Neodiprion lecontei: one gene and its partner. The protein of the gene in region 2 interacts with the protein of the main gene of each other region in a biochemical or structural test. Links are inferred from orthologs where the notes say so. Each region holds a gene or a part of one and is shown on either strand. Other genes may lie near its edges.

The links.
Region 1: the proteins of BMP-2-inducible protein kinase (region 2) and protein numb form a complex in vitro, tested with the Drosophila melanogaster proteins (3 studies listed by BioGRID). The link is inferred for Neodiprion lecontei from reciprocal best matches to the Drosophila melanogaster genes Nak and numb.

The regions. Positions count from the first base shown.
Region 1 is NC_060261.1:16,630,324-16,637,538, forward strand, and holds the start of protein numb, read right to left. Parts: upstream 4,155-7,215; 5' UTR 2,356-4,154; coding exon 2,281-2,355; intron 1-2,280.
Region 2 is NC_060260.1:5,816,150-5,823,772, forward strand, and holds the start of BMP-2-inducible protein kinase, read left to right. Parts: upstream 1-3,450; 5' UTR 3,451-3,707; coding exon 3,708-3,834; intron 3,835-5,084; coding exon 5,085-5,200; intron 5,201-5,523; coding exon 5,524-5,657; intron 5,658-5,856; coding exon 5,857-5,968; intron 5,969-6,065; coding exon 6,066-6,269; intron 6,270-6,395; coding exon 6,396-6,499; intron 6,500-6,575; coding exon 6,576-6,708; intron 6,709-6,811; coding exon 6,812-7,406; intron 7,407-7,614; coding exon 7,615-7,623. Other genes in the region: snRNA-activating protein complex subunit 4, read right to left, coding at 347-3,187.

The sequences.
Region 1 (7,215 bases), on a different chromosome or scaffold from region 2:
AAGCTTTCGTACACTGGCCTAGAAGGTAATTTAAAACTTGGTCAACTATAAAAAAATCACTGCGAACGGTTAATTTAAGCTGGTTAAATATTCGGCCGATGCTGATTGATAGAACGAAATTTTAGATGCTTGATTCCATCTGATGATTTCTTAGCTTTAACTTTAACTTAGATTGAATATTTTATTGCGGTATGTTCGTTTGTTACTCGAACAAGTGAGAATAGGTGAAATCTCAAAGGTTCTTAATCAAGCTTGACCGATAGAAATTTGAGACACACAACTTGAACTGCACTCGTGTGCGACTGGCCGAGTCGGTTGTTCGATTTGAAAATGGATCGCGTTGTGTTTATTAGTTCCGCCTTATTCCCGTGGGGACACGATTCACATATAACAGCTATGACAACATACAAACAGAGTTAAAGTTCTTCCCCCTCCTTATACATCGATTGTGAGTTCAGTGCAGGACGTGAATCACGGTTTACAAAATATGTGGTCAGTGCGGCGATCGAGGCCAAGCCCAAAGTAAATAAAATAAAAAAAGTTACTGAAACTAGATAATTATACGCGGTTCCAGCAACTCTCGAGCCATGATGAGTGCGTAATTAATGCAGATGATTTAATAATTCACGGAAGGATACAGATTCGCGATTAATTCGCACCCTAATCTGGAATTCGTACTGTTTTGTAAATTCGTTAATTCTTCAAAGTTATTCCAAGCTTGCAGGAGAGTGTTTTTCACCAATATTTCGTTGTGTCAACATTGCAACAATTTCTCTTCCATATATGAGGGTGAAGTTAGTAACGTTGTTGCGACGATTAACGTTTCGAAAAAACCGTTATGTCCCAGTTGCAATAATGTTTAAAATTCAGTGAGTCGTAACAAGACAAGAACTTGACTACTTCAAACTCACTGTAAACTTGAAATATAGTAATTTTTCGTTGCGTCAAAGTTACTAACTTCAGCCTTGTTTCCATATCTCGAATCCATCCAGCTTCACGTTTTTTTTTTAGAACTTCAATGTATACACGAAGCCATTTTTAACCGCAGCTGCGGATCCTGGCTGATCCCATAGGAAGAACCCCATGGGCAGATTTCTCCGTTCCAGAAACGTGCACAGCTGGCGCATCTTGGGTCGAATAATAAACGGTTTAAAATCAGTTACGTTCAGACACTTTTGGTACCGTTTTGCAACGCAGTCATTGAAACCTAACCGCAACGATGCCCTGACGAAGAAATTTGCGTGAATAACGTTTTCGCTAACTGCGAGTTAGGAGAAACTTTCCAAGCTTACGTTCTGTGGAGAAGATGGAAGAACCCATCTGCTCAGTTTTTTTTTTTTTTTTTTTTCTATAACGTTCACACGTGTACATATGGAACATTCCAAAACATTTCGACTTGCTCGCGATCCACACCATCTTCAATTTCATTCTCCAGTGTACGTTGCTTGGCGAATCGCAAAAATGCAATTTCCACAGTTTCAGTTTATTTAGAAAATGGGCTTTCCATCAACAACCGCACGGTCCTCGAAATTCAACAGTTAACCGCATAATTGATTTCAATGAAATTAATATAACGAATTCTTTGCCGAAAGGTAAAAACTTTCACTCCGGAATGAAAATTGGTGTGGATTTAATTTGAAAGAAACGAGCAATCTGATATAAAAATAGGGGATTTGATCACGAACCGTAAAATCCTCACGCTGGAGATGTTTCAATAACAATTCATTTGGTTAAATTTATCAAACCAGATATCCACTAATTTTCGCTTTAGTGTTAGACTGAAAAGTTTCGTTTTTTCGCAAAAACTCACTGACATAAATTTCATTGATTAAAATTAACCACGTTGTCAATTGATTTCGCGAATCGATCAATCGCAAGAAAATCGATTTCTCTAAAAATGACCAATTTTGCAAACCCTCTTTATCCGCATCGTCGAATAGGAGAACAGAATTGAAAACAGTGAGGATCATGAGCGGGGTCGAAATGGCCTGGAACTCCCCATATATGTACACAAATAAACGGCTCCTCGGGTCGCTTTCTACCGTCTCTCAGAGAATTAAGCCAGGACCAGTTTTAAAACCTAACATCGAATTCGTTTCCTCCGATCGATCGGAAGAACTTGGAGTTGTCTAAGAGCTCAACGATGTCGGTTGACCGAGGATCGTACAATACCGTAATCGCGTTTATCTCATAGGGGGTGAATAAATATTTTCCGAATGATTCGTCACCGCTCAATCCAGCTCTTAGTTTTTCGTCTCGAGTTGCTGGACGGCTACATACCGATATTCGGAGAGTGTTTCCAGCGTGGGTTGTGGCTCTTTCGAGCGGATGGTGGGCGGACGGATGGTTCCCCATGGTATCGATGCCTTTGGTTCAGGTAGTAAGTCGGGGGAAATATCCGAGAACAGGTAGTCGGTCAGTCGCGTTTACGTTCGTGTCGATCCGTGTTGGAATATATATATTTTCCAGCCTTCTCAGGGACGCGAAGCTGCACAGGTGCGGCCGGTTGCGTTAATCGAACGCCAACCGCGCTCAGTTGTCAATTCGCGAAAACTGCAACCGCCGTTTCACGCCTTCATCATCGGAGTGCCCGATAGCCAATTTTGTCACTCCGATTCCCGTTTCACCGACAACACAAGCCTCGGGGATTCGAAACTCACTCTCGATCACCGTCCCTCGATACTTGACCTCGTCGACCTTTTCCGGCCTCTTTCTTTTTAAACTTCACGAAAAACGTCACAGCTTCGAAGCCATTCCCGGCTGCCGCCCACCGCCTGGGCTTCTTCTATCCGTACTGACAAACGGGAAACGGTCAAACTTGGCTCACCCAACCTGCCTTTCTTACGATGACGTCACTCAAGAGTCTCTGCTACACCGCCGGCTTCTTCTCGCTTACGACGCGATTCCGTCGTTCGAAATTTCGAATTCGAATACCACCCGCCGTTCGAAATTTCAAAACCGAATCGCGCCCGACGTTCGAAATTTTGAAACTGGACTTGCTCCCGCTGTTCGAAATCTAGGTCAATTGAAAACTTGACTCAACTCTGCCGTACGAGATGTCACACCTTGAGATAATACCGACGTTCGAAATTTGAAAACCTTGCTTGCTCCCGCCCTTCGAAATTTGATAACTCGGCTCGCTACCACGTAACGGTTTTATTCGAACGCCCGAAGCGACGTTCCGTTGTCATCGAGACAGTTCAAATATTCGTCTGTGGTAAAGAAACGATTTTTAACGATCAATTTTGAATGTGAAATTCAGGTGATCGACATTCAGATTCGAGTGGCCGTTCTTATATTCGGTTTGCGCGAGTTTCACTCGCCATTTTGAAGACCGAACCTCTTTCGGTAAGCACCTGTAACGAGTTTATTAATCGTGCAACAGCTGTCACGAAACCTCTGCTCTGAAAGTGTTCCCACGTTTTTCCGTTGGCGCAACGTTCCGCTCAGTTTATAATACACTTCCGGCGACCCCACCGGAACTCGGAACTTCGTATGATCTCTCGCTGGACTAATTATTCAAACAATCGAACGCAAATCGAACAATTGGTATCAATATTCCCAAATGGTAAAGAATCCTCCTTTCACATCTGCAGAGATATTCTCCTCCTGACTTACAAACTTGGTAATCAACCTTTTATTGCTTTCGTTTAAATCGAGAATTATTGCGAACGAAACCGACAACTGTAAACATTGAAATTCACAATTTCATTAACTACACTTGACGTTTATATTCCAACCGCATCCGGGAGCGTCGTTTGTTTTCCGCTTCATAGTCTCTTGTTGTTTTTCTTTTACATCGTTTCTTTACAATGTAGTAGGAAAAATAGCAATATATCAGACTCGGAGTATGAGAAATTCACTTGATCGAACAACGAATATCGACGGTCAATCTATGAACGATTACCGCTTTCACGTCTCGGTGAATTCCAAATTTCGGATTCGAACACGACAAGAACGACACTTTTCTACACGAATATCACACAAAACACGACACCATGGAAATTGGACGATATCGAACCGTTGAGGCCGTTTTCGATGACGATTAACGGCTGAACCACAGCGGCCGCCGCTGCGTTTTTCCCCCCAAACCGAATGCGGTACGCGTACCCAGAATACTACGCGGCTCGTTCGACTCGATTCAAACTTGTACTCCACGAGGCGTTCTTTCTGCCTGCTGCCCGGTTCTCGTTGTAAGAACTCTCGGTAGTGGGGCGAAATGCCGGCGAGGAGTGGGACCACCAGGAGGGGGGGGGGGGGGGGGGGATCGGCTTGGAACGAGAGGTCTGATCCCATAGCCTCTCTTGTTCCCTCCACACAGGGCTATTTATAATATCGTATAACTCGCATTTCAGTTACAGTTGCATACATATATAATATATATGTATAGGTATAGTTACATTCTCTCGGCACGCATCGTGTACCTTATACCTATCGGTAAATATTATACCCATCTTACGGTAAGGTAACGAAGAAGACTTACGGAATGAAACGCAGAAAGTGAAAGTATAGATATGAAAATTTTTTCAGCAACCGACAAATTTCGACAATGTCTTTTATAGATTGTAAGATACATCGGTTTTCGAAGTTCGTTTTTGTCTGGAGTATCAATTTTTTTCTAATATTGTAAACGAGTATTTTATAGATGATAACAATAATCAACAACAATTTCTCTGGCGGAAAAAGATACGCGCTGAGGAAACTTTTTATTTCAGGCACACACCTTGGACGAAATATAATTTAACGGGTTTCGAAAATGAATTGGAAATGTTTTGAAGTGAATTATTTTTTTCAATCTCAGGTGGTATTTACAAGAACAATAATAAATTAGAAGATTACGAGTATTCTTAACGATTGTCAATAAGTATCTTATGAACGGTGAAAAATAAATCTATCTTCAGGTATATTGAAAAAATTTTAATTTCTCGGTAAAATTTTGTACGTAAATAAAAATTCAATAAACTTTACATGCAGTTTAAATACATAGTTTTCGTTTTATTTCATGTGAAATTTATAACTGTAGTATTTCATAAAATAACAATATTATGCGGCCAGAATTTTGCTAACATTCCTGAGAACAAGAAAAACTTTGAAACATTATTTCGAAAAACTTCAAATTTCATAGTACATTTACCATATAAATTGAAGTGTTACCGCAGATTTCAAAGACGAAACAGTGAAAAAAATTAATAAAATTCTCAATCAGTGTTTCATAAAATAATAATAATAATAGTAACAACAACAACTACAACAACAACAACAACAACAACAACAACAATAATAATAATAACAACAATGAACAAGAAATGTGTGAATATTCGTCAAAATTATCATTTCGAAAAATATCGATGTGGGCAGAAAAAGCTTCTGACACACTCAGACTTTCGGTGCGTATATTCAGAAATTTCTCCAGTTTTTAAACATTTTTCTGGTTACGATTCTGTGAAGTTTAAGGAAACTCTCATTCGCAATCACCTTCCAAAACTTACTAAATTCTTTCAGTACAGCAAAGGTCTTCGAATATGTCGGAGAGGTTCTACCAAACATATTATCCCAATATGGTAATTAATTTTTCGGTTCTGCTTTGACCTTAACAAACATTCAAAGATCAAGAAGCAGAAAGGAAGAAAAAAACAGTAAACAAGTACAAAAGAATCCTCTTCGTTGTTTCATATTTGTTCATTATTTTTTTTTCTTCTCTTGTCTTTTCGTTTTGTCCATTTAAAATTTTTTGTTTTTTCCTTTTTTTTCCCATCTTTCCTTATACAGAGAACGTGAATCGGGGGTTTTTGCAGAGACTCCTAGTGAAGGTTTCACCGTCGGTAAAGGACGAGGTGAGCCTGCCTCCGTTTAATGATGGGGAGAGAGAAAGAGCGAGAGGAAGAGAGAGTGAGAGTTGCGCAGCTGCCACGGCAAATGGTCGTACATCTGCTGAAGAACAGAAGAACTGCATCCAGCAAAGTCTAGCTAGGCGAGTGACGTTAATACCCGGCTTACAGACGTGCCTTCCTACCTAGAACTTCTTACCACGCATTTACTTACCAACAGAAATATAGTGTAACTCTTCAGGGGTAAGAACCCGCGTTGAGGGACGGAAATCGAGGCCAAAAAATGTGGAACCAGAAAGGGAAAATTGTAAGTGCGAGGAGTGAGGAAAAAATGCAAGGGGGATTAAGAGAAAGGGAAGAAAACTGCAACTGTTATACTCAAAAACCGATTTGTACAATTATTTCGCACGGCAATTACTGACACGCAAATTTGTCAAATTTTGAACAAAGTGATAACGTTATATTGTATATTATAAATTGGTAAAAAATTTCTTTGTCTAAACACCAGCGGAAAATTCAAGTAATTCGATTTAAAGGACAAATTTCTGTTACTTTAATTCAGTGTTGTCAGAAATGGTAATTGAAGAATCGAATATTTGAATGGAATAATTGAAATATTGATAGAGATTTTCTTTACATTTTTGAAGAACAAAAAACTGCTGCGTAAATCCCACGCAAGTACGCAAACTCGATAATTTTAATACAAAATCCGAAAAATGTCGAATTCATGATATTAAAATATGTATATATTCTAAAAAATAAATTATGATTGCGTTTTATACTATATTTATGAGTTCAACATAAAATTTTGGTGTGCATTATTTTATTGATTGAAAGTTTTAAGATCATCAAAATTGTAATTGGTGGCGCTTCTATTTTTGAAAAACTGTGTGCACGAGCAACAAAAAGCTGTTCTTCGATCGAATAGACGAAAATTGTTCCCTCTTCGCCTGTAATATCTTCATTACGCAACTAAGAATGCACAAATGTAAACCTGATTGCCTACCTGAGGCGCAAAGTGTCCGATTCTCCGTCGCCAAATTTCAGTATTCCTCCAGCCATCGAGTTTATCAGCTGTCATGTTTTCCGCTTTACCGCACGACTTTCACCGATAAAAAATACTCGATGATTTCTATCTTGCAGATGTAACAACGGATGAATAAACTAAGTACAAGTGCCACGCAGCGTGGATTTGCATTTCTGGCAAAAGCGCGATCGCGATTGACATCAAGCGTTTTAGTTACCCGTTGCTCTGCTGCGATTGCGTAATATTTCTCTAAAATAACCAGTAAGCATCGGATGAGAACCGGATTTAATGAGCCAACTGGAAAAATCAAGTTATGTCCTAACAATGAAGACGATTGTCTTTTAAAGCAAGGCGGAGTCG
Region 2 (7,623 bases):
CGAAGTTTTTTAGTATATAAATATGATGAATATCATCACAGATACGATACGTGATAAACATAGAAATGATGTTAACCCCTGTACCTACAATGTCATGGGAGACGTGCTACGTCGATCGGGCCAAACATGAGAATCACGAGTGAGAGCCGTGATATTTACACATATGACCGACCTTGCTGTTGATTATAGGCTCACGCAATCGGAACTTAAATCGTAGGTTAAGAGGTTAATACAATTGGAGTAAACTTTAGGACATAAGGTTGTGCAGTGTCATTTAACAAGTCTGAACCATTAAGGGAGAATACATTGTACATATACAATGTAGATAGCTGATTTTTTATGAAATTCATGTCTCAGAAATTTCTTCAACATTGAGTTTTGCAAACTTTGCTTTTCTTTTTGTTTCCGATCCCCCACATTCCTTACTGCCTTTTCTTCTTCTTTGACAATTGTTCCCAACACTGTCCAAATCTTTTTCTCTCATATCGTGTAATACAGGTGGTGCTACTTCGGACAATTCTATAGGAAATTTAAAAAGCTTAGCTAAACGTTCCTCAAATAATTCCAAGGCTTGTCGACCCTCTGTTGTCATCCTATAATCTTCAAGTTCATCATATTCGTCTTCCACCAAATTATCTGCCTCAAGAATGTGTTTTGATAATAATATTCCACGAAACCCTAGTAAAGTTGTGTAATTTGGAGGTATCAGCATTTCTGGCCAATACTTGGTGAGTTTCCTTCTGGTAATTTTCGAAGATGACTCATTTATACCTGGCATACTTTGCTCTGTTTCACTTGTATCTGGATTGGAAACGACACCTGATGTACTTGGGGCGTTCATATCAATAATTTCACTTGCACTATTTAACTTCCCACTATTTGGTAGGGAAATGAATTTTATCGGCAATAGTTTACCGGATCGTTCAGGTATCTCCTTTGAAAACACAGTATCTGTCGGAAAGTTTTCGGTTTTGCCGATAAATTTCTTGGCCATCTTCTCAAATGCAAGTTCGCTTTGCAAACCGCCCATTTGCGATATGACTAGCTCAGGTGTTTTGAAGTTTTTATCTAGTTCAACAGTGGTTGGCTCGTTCGTAGGATCGTAATTTATTCCGGTAACTGTTCCTTTTTTAATTCGTGAGATAATTTTCTTACCATCAAATGGAAACGGTGGTATAAAACGATCTTCACACTCTGTCACCATAGATGATCCAAACATCTTTTGCCTGGTATGTTCAACCAATTTTTGTTGCATGTCAGACGCCAGGGTTTCATCCCTTGAATACTTTACTAAGGAAGTCAGCAGCTGCTTATCTTTTTCCGTCAACTGTGGTTCCTGGTCGAAATCATCAGGAATATCAAGATCAGCATTCAGCAGTTGCAACATAACGTGAAGCCTCGGAGTTTTATAGTTGAGCTCCTCGGCAGTATAAAATTTGCTGTTTCTTCCAGGTTTCGAAGTGGTTCGATACATTCCTTTGAAGTAATCCTGAAGCTCTATATCAATATCAGATAGATTACTTCTCTTTCCATCGTTTCCATCCTTTTCATACGGAGTTCTCAAACACCTACTTATTTCTTGAAGCCTTTCTTCACCAGTCATCGTTGAATCTTCGATGCAAACTTCTTCAGACTTTTGTCCCCACCTGGGTATGGATCTGAGGGACAAGCCCCGACTCAGATATCGGAGTATCGACGTATGGCGATGTCTAACTTGGACTCTAGACTTGTTGGAGAATTCTTTGGAAATAGCGGACCAATTGTTGCCAAATTTTTCAACGAGATCTACCAGTTTGGTATCGTCTTGTAAAGTCCACTCATTTTTTTTCTCATGCAGAAGTGTTCTATAGTGATCGTTCAACTGCGCCGTAGTTCTGTGAGGCAGCAGAGAAACTGAAATTTTTGTAAAATTAGCCCCAAACTTGTTAACACCTGCAAGTAGGAGCTTGTCCTCTTCTTCGGTGAATCTACCCTTTTTCAAATTAGGAGCAAGACTGTAATTCCAGCGCATGTATATCTGCTGCTTTCGTCTCTGTCCCATAAGCTTAGCGACCTCTCCCCATGGAATAAAATTCCCAGTCCTCAATCCATTTACAGCGTCAATAAGTTTCTGGTCTTCTTCTTTTGACCAAAAACTGTTCCTGTTCAACATGTTGTTTCTAAAATTGGTATTGAATCTAATAAAACATTGATATCCTGTACGATTTGTGCCCAATTTTTCAGCCACTAGGTCCCAGTTTTGAAAGTTGTAATTCTCAGCCAACTTTTTTAGATCCATATCCTCAGCCTTCTTCCATTTACTCTTGTTGATGTCAGGATGTAGGAAAACGTTCCACATTGCTCTGCACTCGCTGGCGGAATGTCTCTCATTGAAATCGGTTACTGCTATTTTCAACCAGTCAAATTCCCTCGATCCTATCGGACCAACCAAGTTCTTGAAGGTCTGAGCTATCTGCTCCGGTATTCTCTTAGCCGTCAGCTTGAATTCCAGGTTCAGAGGATCCTCTGCATAGCTCAAGTGTTGCCCGTTATTAGGTTGTTGTTTTCTTGCTACTTGTTGGGCAATCATCTTAGCCTCGCAAAAAATAGCCTCCCATAGCGTGTTCCGATCTTTCAGAGTCCATCGCAAAGGGCACGGAAGTTCAATGATCTGTAGCTCACCACGATTGGCTTTCAACTTAGCGTCCTGGTTCTTGGGTGCAGGAAAATGACGCTTGTCTTTGAAATATGGGATCCCGCTAATGGTTAATAGCGTTCTAGAAAATGGGTTGGAATTTATCTTTTGAAGTTTTTCATCTATTAGCACTTGTTTACGCTGACACTCTTTGAGCAAGAGGCGAAGCTTTCTTTGAGCATTCACCAAGAGATTTATTATTTTTCTATTTAGATTCAACGCAGCCTCGGGACTCGAAAGATCCAAACTGCTATTGATATTCTCGTTCCATTCGTTATCACTTTCTTCGCCATCGACAAGTGGGTCGACAGTGCAGCAGTCCTGAATCGTGCTCGACGGGGATAGAGGATTGTTCGCTTGAGACGTTGACGGCTCGCATTGACTGTGTTCTGTTCTAAATGGATCTTCGGAAACCAACTCCTTTTTCAAACCGTCCGATTGTTTTTTCGTAAGAACTTCTTGGAGAGCTTTTATGTCGTCGAGTATTACATCCTCGTCCTCTAAATCACTCATTTTCCTGTTCGTAGGTTAACAACAAGGGACGAATCCAATCAGCGGCGTTGTGATATTATCAGTAATTTGACGCTAATTCGTTGGCAAGGTTAAAACCGACGGTAAGAGAAGTTTACGTTTGGGAAAGACTTGTATGTTTGCGGTGTTTGGTATTTCAAGACTTGACGTTAGACCGGAACTCAGGGACATATGTTTCCGGTGTATTAGCCTCACTTCAGTTGCTGCAGCGTGACTTTTTGCCGCGCATGCGCAACTAACGCTGTCTTAAAATGTCGGCTGGGTGAAATACGTTGAATGTTATCATGATAAAATTGATTTTCGTTGGTTAAGTTTACGCGCAATTTCCACGCGGATTGCCGGTCGAGGACGCAAATATAGTTGGAATAAAATAAGGAGTAACTCCGCCGGCCAAGACTCGTCTATAAATCGTAAAACACTGTGTGAGGAGGCCTTATGTCAAGCCAGTCTAATATTGGGTGGATAGCCGAAGAAGTAGCGCAGACGACAACGACGTGCCAAAATGAAGAAACTCTTCTCAAAAATCGAAACAAAGATTGACAACACAGCCAAGGAGCCAAACAGCTATGTCGGCAAAGTATTTGTCGTCGGCCGTCACACCGTTACAGTCGAAGATGTCCTCGCTGAAGGTGCGTAACCCGCGACGTGTAATATCTCGTCCCTCATCCTCGATCGTTTCCCGTCTTGGAATCTCTACTATCGCTGTATGTCGCTATGTTTATTACAATTTCACGGCCCTTTCATTTCTTCGCGCAACAAACACCATTTTCAATATTTTCAACGATTCCGAGCATTCGTACGTACTCCCCATTTATATCCAACTCCCTTAATGGAATCTAATTCGTTTCCGTTTCCAGCCTCGTACGTAATTCGTTTTATTGTTTTTGCAACGCGAATTATTCTCGTCGATTCACTTGTGCAAACACAACGTGGGGTTGGTTTGAAAAACAGAAGGCTCGAAAGAAACCTGAGGAAGGTGCGTAGTTGTTTGTATCGTGCATTTCAGTCAGCCGCAACGATCATTCTTGGCCATTCTAACCAGCATTACCTGGTGCTATGGCCTTTTAATCTCATGTCTCAATCTTATCTACCGGGACTACAAGTTTATCGCAAGACAAGCACCGTTACCGTGATAGATTACCGAGTGTTATTAAACTTTTATGATTGCAGGGATGTTCTCCTAATCTTTCCAGATTTGAATAAAAGCCGTTCACTTCTCTCAAGTTTCTTTATTTTCCTTTCATTACAAATTTCTCACTAATCCAACAAACCACTCCCACAACTCGGTACGCAATACTTATGATTCATTTATTGCTAAACTGGGAATAAAAATGACTGGCGAAAAAACTTTCTTTATTCAATCGCATTGAATCAGTATCATTTTCAGATGATACATTACAGCGCTGCTAAAAATCACATACCAAAAACCCCTCACATCATACGCAACATGCAAATAAAAATTTAAACATTCATCTGCCAAGGTTAAAAATATTAACTCGAGCAAAGCGCTAATATAAAACAATTGGTGATTTACATTAATCAGACTGAATTATTCGATGTACTTATTGAACTGTATCAAAATGACACTGGCATATAATCTAGACTTTCCTGAATTAAAACAGCTCAGTTTCAGACTACAGACATGATACAGCTCTATCGTCATATCAAGTTGACATGTGTTAATCTTACATATTTATTATTATGATACTGACAGAGAGCATGATATGACACAATAAAGAAGGGATCAGAAAAATTTGAAGCTGGATACTTAATTACTCGATTTACTAATAATAAATTTTAGATGTGTTGGAAAAAGCAATTTTCACCTCACTATTGAAAATAATAATTAGATATACTTAAATTACATCCCTAATTCCAGGTGGCTTTGCTGTGGTATTCTTGGTCAAAGCATCGGGTGGGCGTTATGCGCTCAAACGCATGTATGTCAATAATGAACATGATCTCAACGTATGCAAAAGAGAGATACAAATTGCTGTAAGTATTTGAAAATCGCAAACTCGTTTCAGAATTTTGCTACAAACAAGTGCCAATTTTGTAGCAAAAATTTTATACGATGAGATTATGCCCTTTTGATACTCTCGAATATGTAAACCCAGGACATGGGAATATAATTAAGAGTAATTGCTTGTTCTACAAAGGCTCGCTTCCTTGCCAGGTTGTGTAAACACTTGTGATAACTTGTCATATGCCTGTATAGTTACACAAACAGTAAAGTGAAAATATTGAACATGGCCGCTCGGCCAAAGACAATTACATTATCGTTGCTGTACAATATAGCATATCAATTCAATTTTCAGAGCAATCTCAGCGGTCATAAAAATATTATAGGATATGTGGATAGCAGCATCACTCACACTGGAGGTGGGGTTCATGAACTCCTCCTTTTAATGCCATATTGCAAATCTCATGTTCTTCAAATGATGAATAACAGGTCAGTTATACGTGGATAATGTTTGTGATTAACATTTTAGTTTTACTTTTACTGATACATTCAATTTTCGGAGCAGACAAAAGATATTTATTAGATATTCAATTGTACAAACTAGCAATGTCCATCTATAGTAATCTCACACATACCTCTGTTCGTTTCAAATTTAAAAACAACAACGTTTATCCTTTAAATCATGCAGGCTACAAACTGGATTCAGCGAAACTGAAGTCTTGCAGATATTTTGTGACGTGTGTGAAGCTGTCTCGCGTTTGCACCATTGCCAGACGCCTATTTTACACAGAGACCTTAAGGTAGGTCAGTCTTAGAAAAAAAAACTTGTATCCAATTTTTATTTCTTTTACGTGTTGATATTGCTAGTTTCAATGGTGATGTTCTTATCTGTCACAGGTAGAAAATATTTTGCTAGCAGATTCTGGTCATTACGTACTATGTGATTTTGGATCTGCAACTGGAAAAGTATTGAATCCAAGTGTTCAAGGTGCTTCTATAGTAGAAGAAGAAATTAAAAAGTATACAACTCTTAGTTATAGAGCTCCAGAAATGGTTGATATGTACTGCGGCAAGACCATCACAACAAAAGCAGATATTTGGGTAATTTCTGATGATTATATTTTTGAATTACCATGTGAATTACATGTCAATGCAGGTTGAGAAGCTGTAGAAATCCAAATTTTGTTCGTCATTCCCTCTTTTCTAAAGAATTTAATTCTATTACAGGCTCTAGGATGTCTGTTATATAAATTATGCTTTTTCTCGTTACCTTTTGGCGAGAGTACGCTTGCTATTCAATCAGGAAACTTTACCATACCAGAAAGTTCGAGGTAAACTTTTGGCTTATCTTGAATATTTTATTGTAGTAGCATGACTGGTTATATTAACTTTTTTCTCAATTTACAGATATAGCAAAGCACTTCATTGCTTAATTCGATACATGTTAGAACCCGATCCTGATCTGAGACCAGATATATACCAAGTTTCGGTAGTTGCTTTCCAGTTACAAGGCAAGGACTGTCCAATACAAAACCTTCACGTAAGTATTTTTTACTGTTCAATTGAGTGGTCCTAGCAATTGGCAGATTATAATGACTCAGATTCAAAAGATTATTGGAAATTGTATTTTTGTATATTTACAGAAAGCTCCAACCCCGGTAATAGAGTCTCTACCCTGTCCTCTTCTGGAATCTGAAGCTATCAAGCGTTCTTCGGTAAAAATTCAAAAGCTTACACAAGTTACGATGGTTGAAGGGACATCGGTCGCACCGAGACAAAGGCCGAAAGGTCAGAGTGCAGCGGCTGGTCCCATAAGTTTAAGTGGTCAAATCATAGGTCAGATATCGGGGCAGGGCAATCAATTACAATCCCAAACTACACTTGGGAATTCAATTCCCTATACTTCTGTTAGTCAACAGATCCCGCCCATTAATACTCCACAAGCTTATCTTGGACAAAGCGTTCAAACAAACCCGCAACAGCCCTTACAGCTGTCTGCACAATCATCCTTTGTTCAGGTCAGTCCTCACATCTCATCCCCGAACCAAGCCATCCCCTTTGGCCAATCCCAGGCCCCCTCGCCGTTTGGCCAATCTCAGAGTCCGATGATTAGCCATTCTCCTCTCCCTCATCAATCCCCGGTTACTATTCAGGAAAAGAACCCGTATTATTTCGATTCAAGAACGACTGCCTCAGCTGTTAAAGAGGAAAATTTGGATGCCTTATTTCCCTCGTCTGGTGAGTTAATTCTCAAATAATATAAAATCATCAATATCTTAGATACAAATTATTTTATTTCGCTAGCAATCCTTACTATTGTCAAATGTCACTATATATATACAGAAAATGTCAAGAATCTGTATTAAAAATTTTTACGTTGCTTATATTTGTATCAGCGAATTTTATATGCCCTGATAACCTGTTTCATCACTACAATTTGGCTCAGGTTACCCAG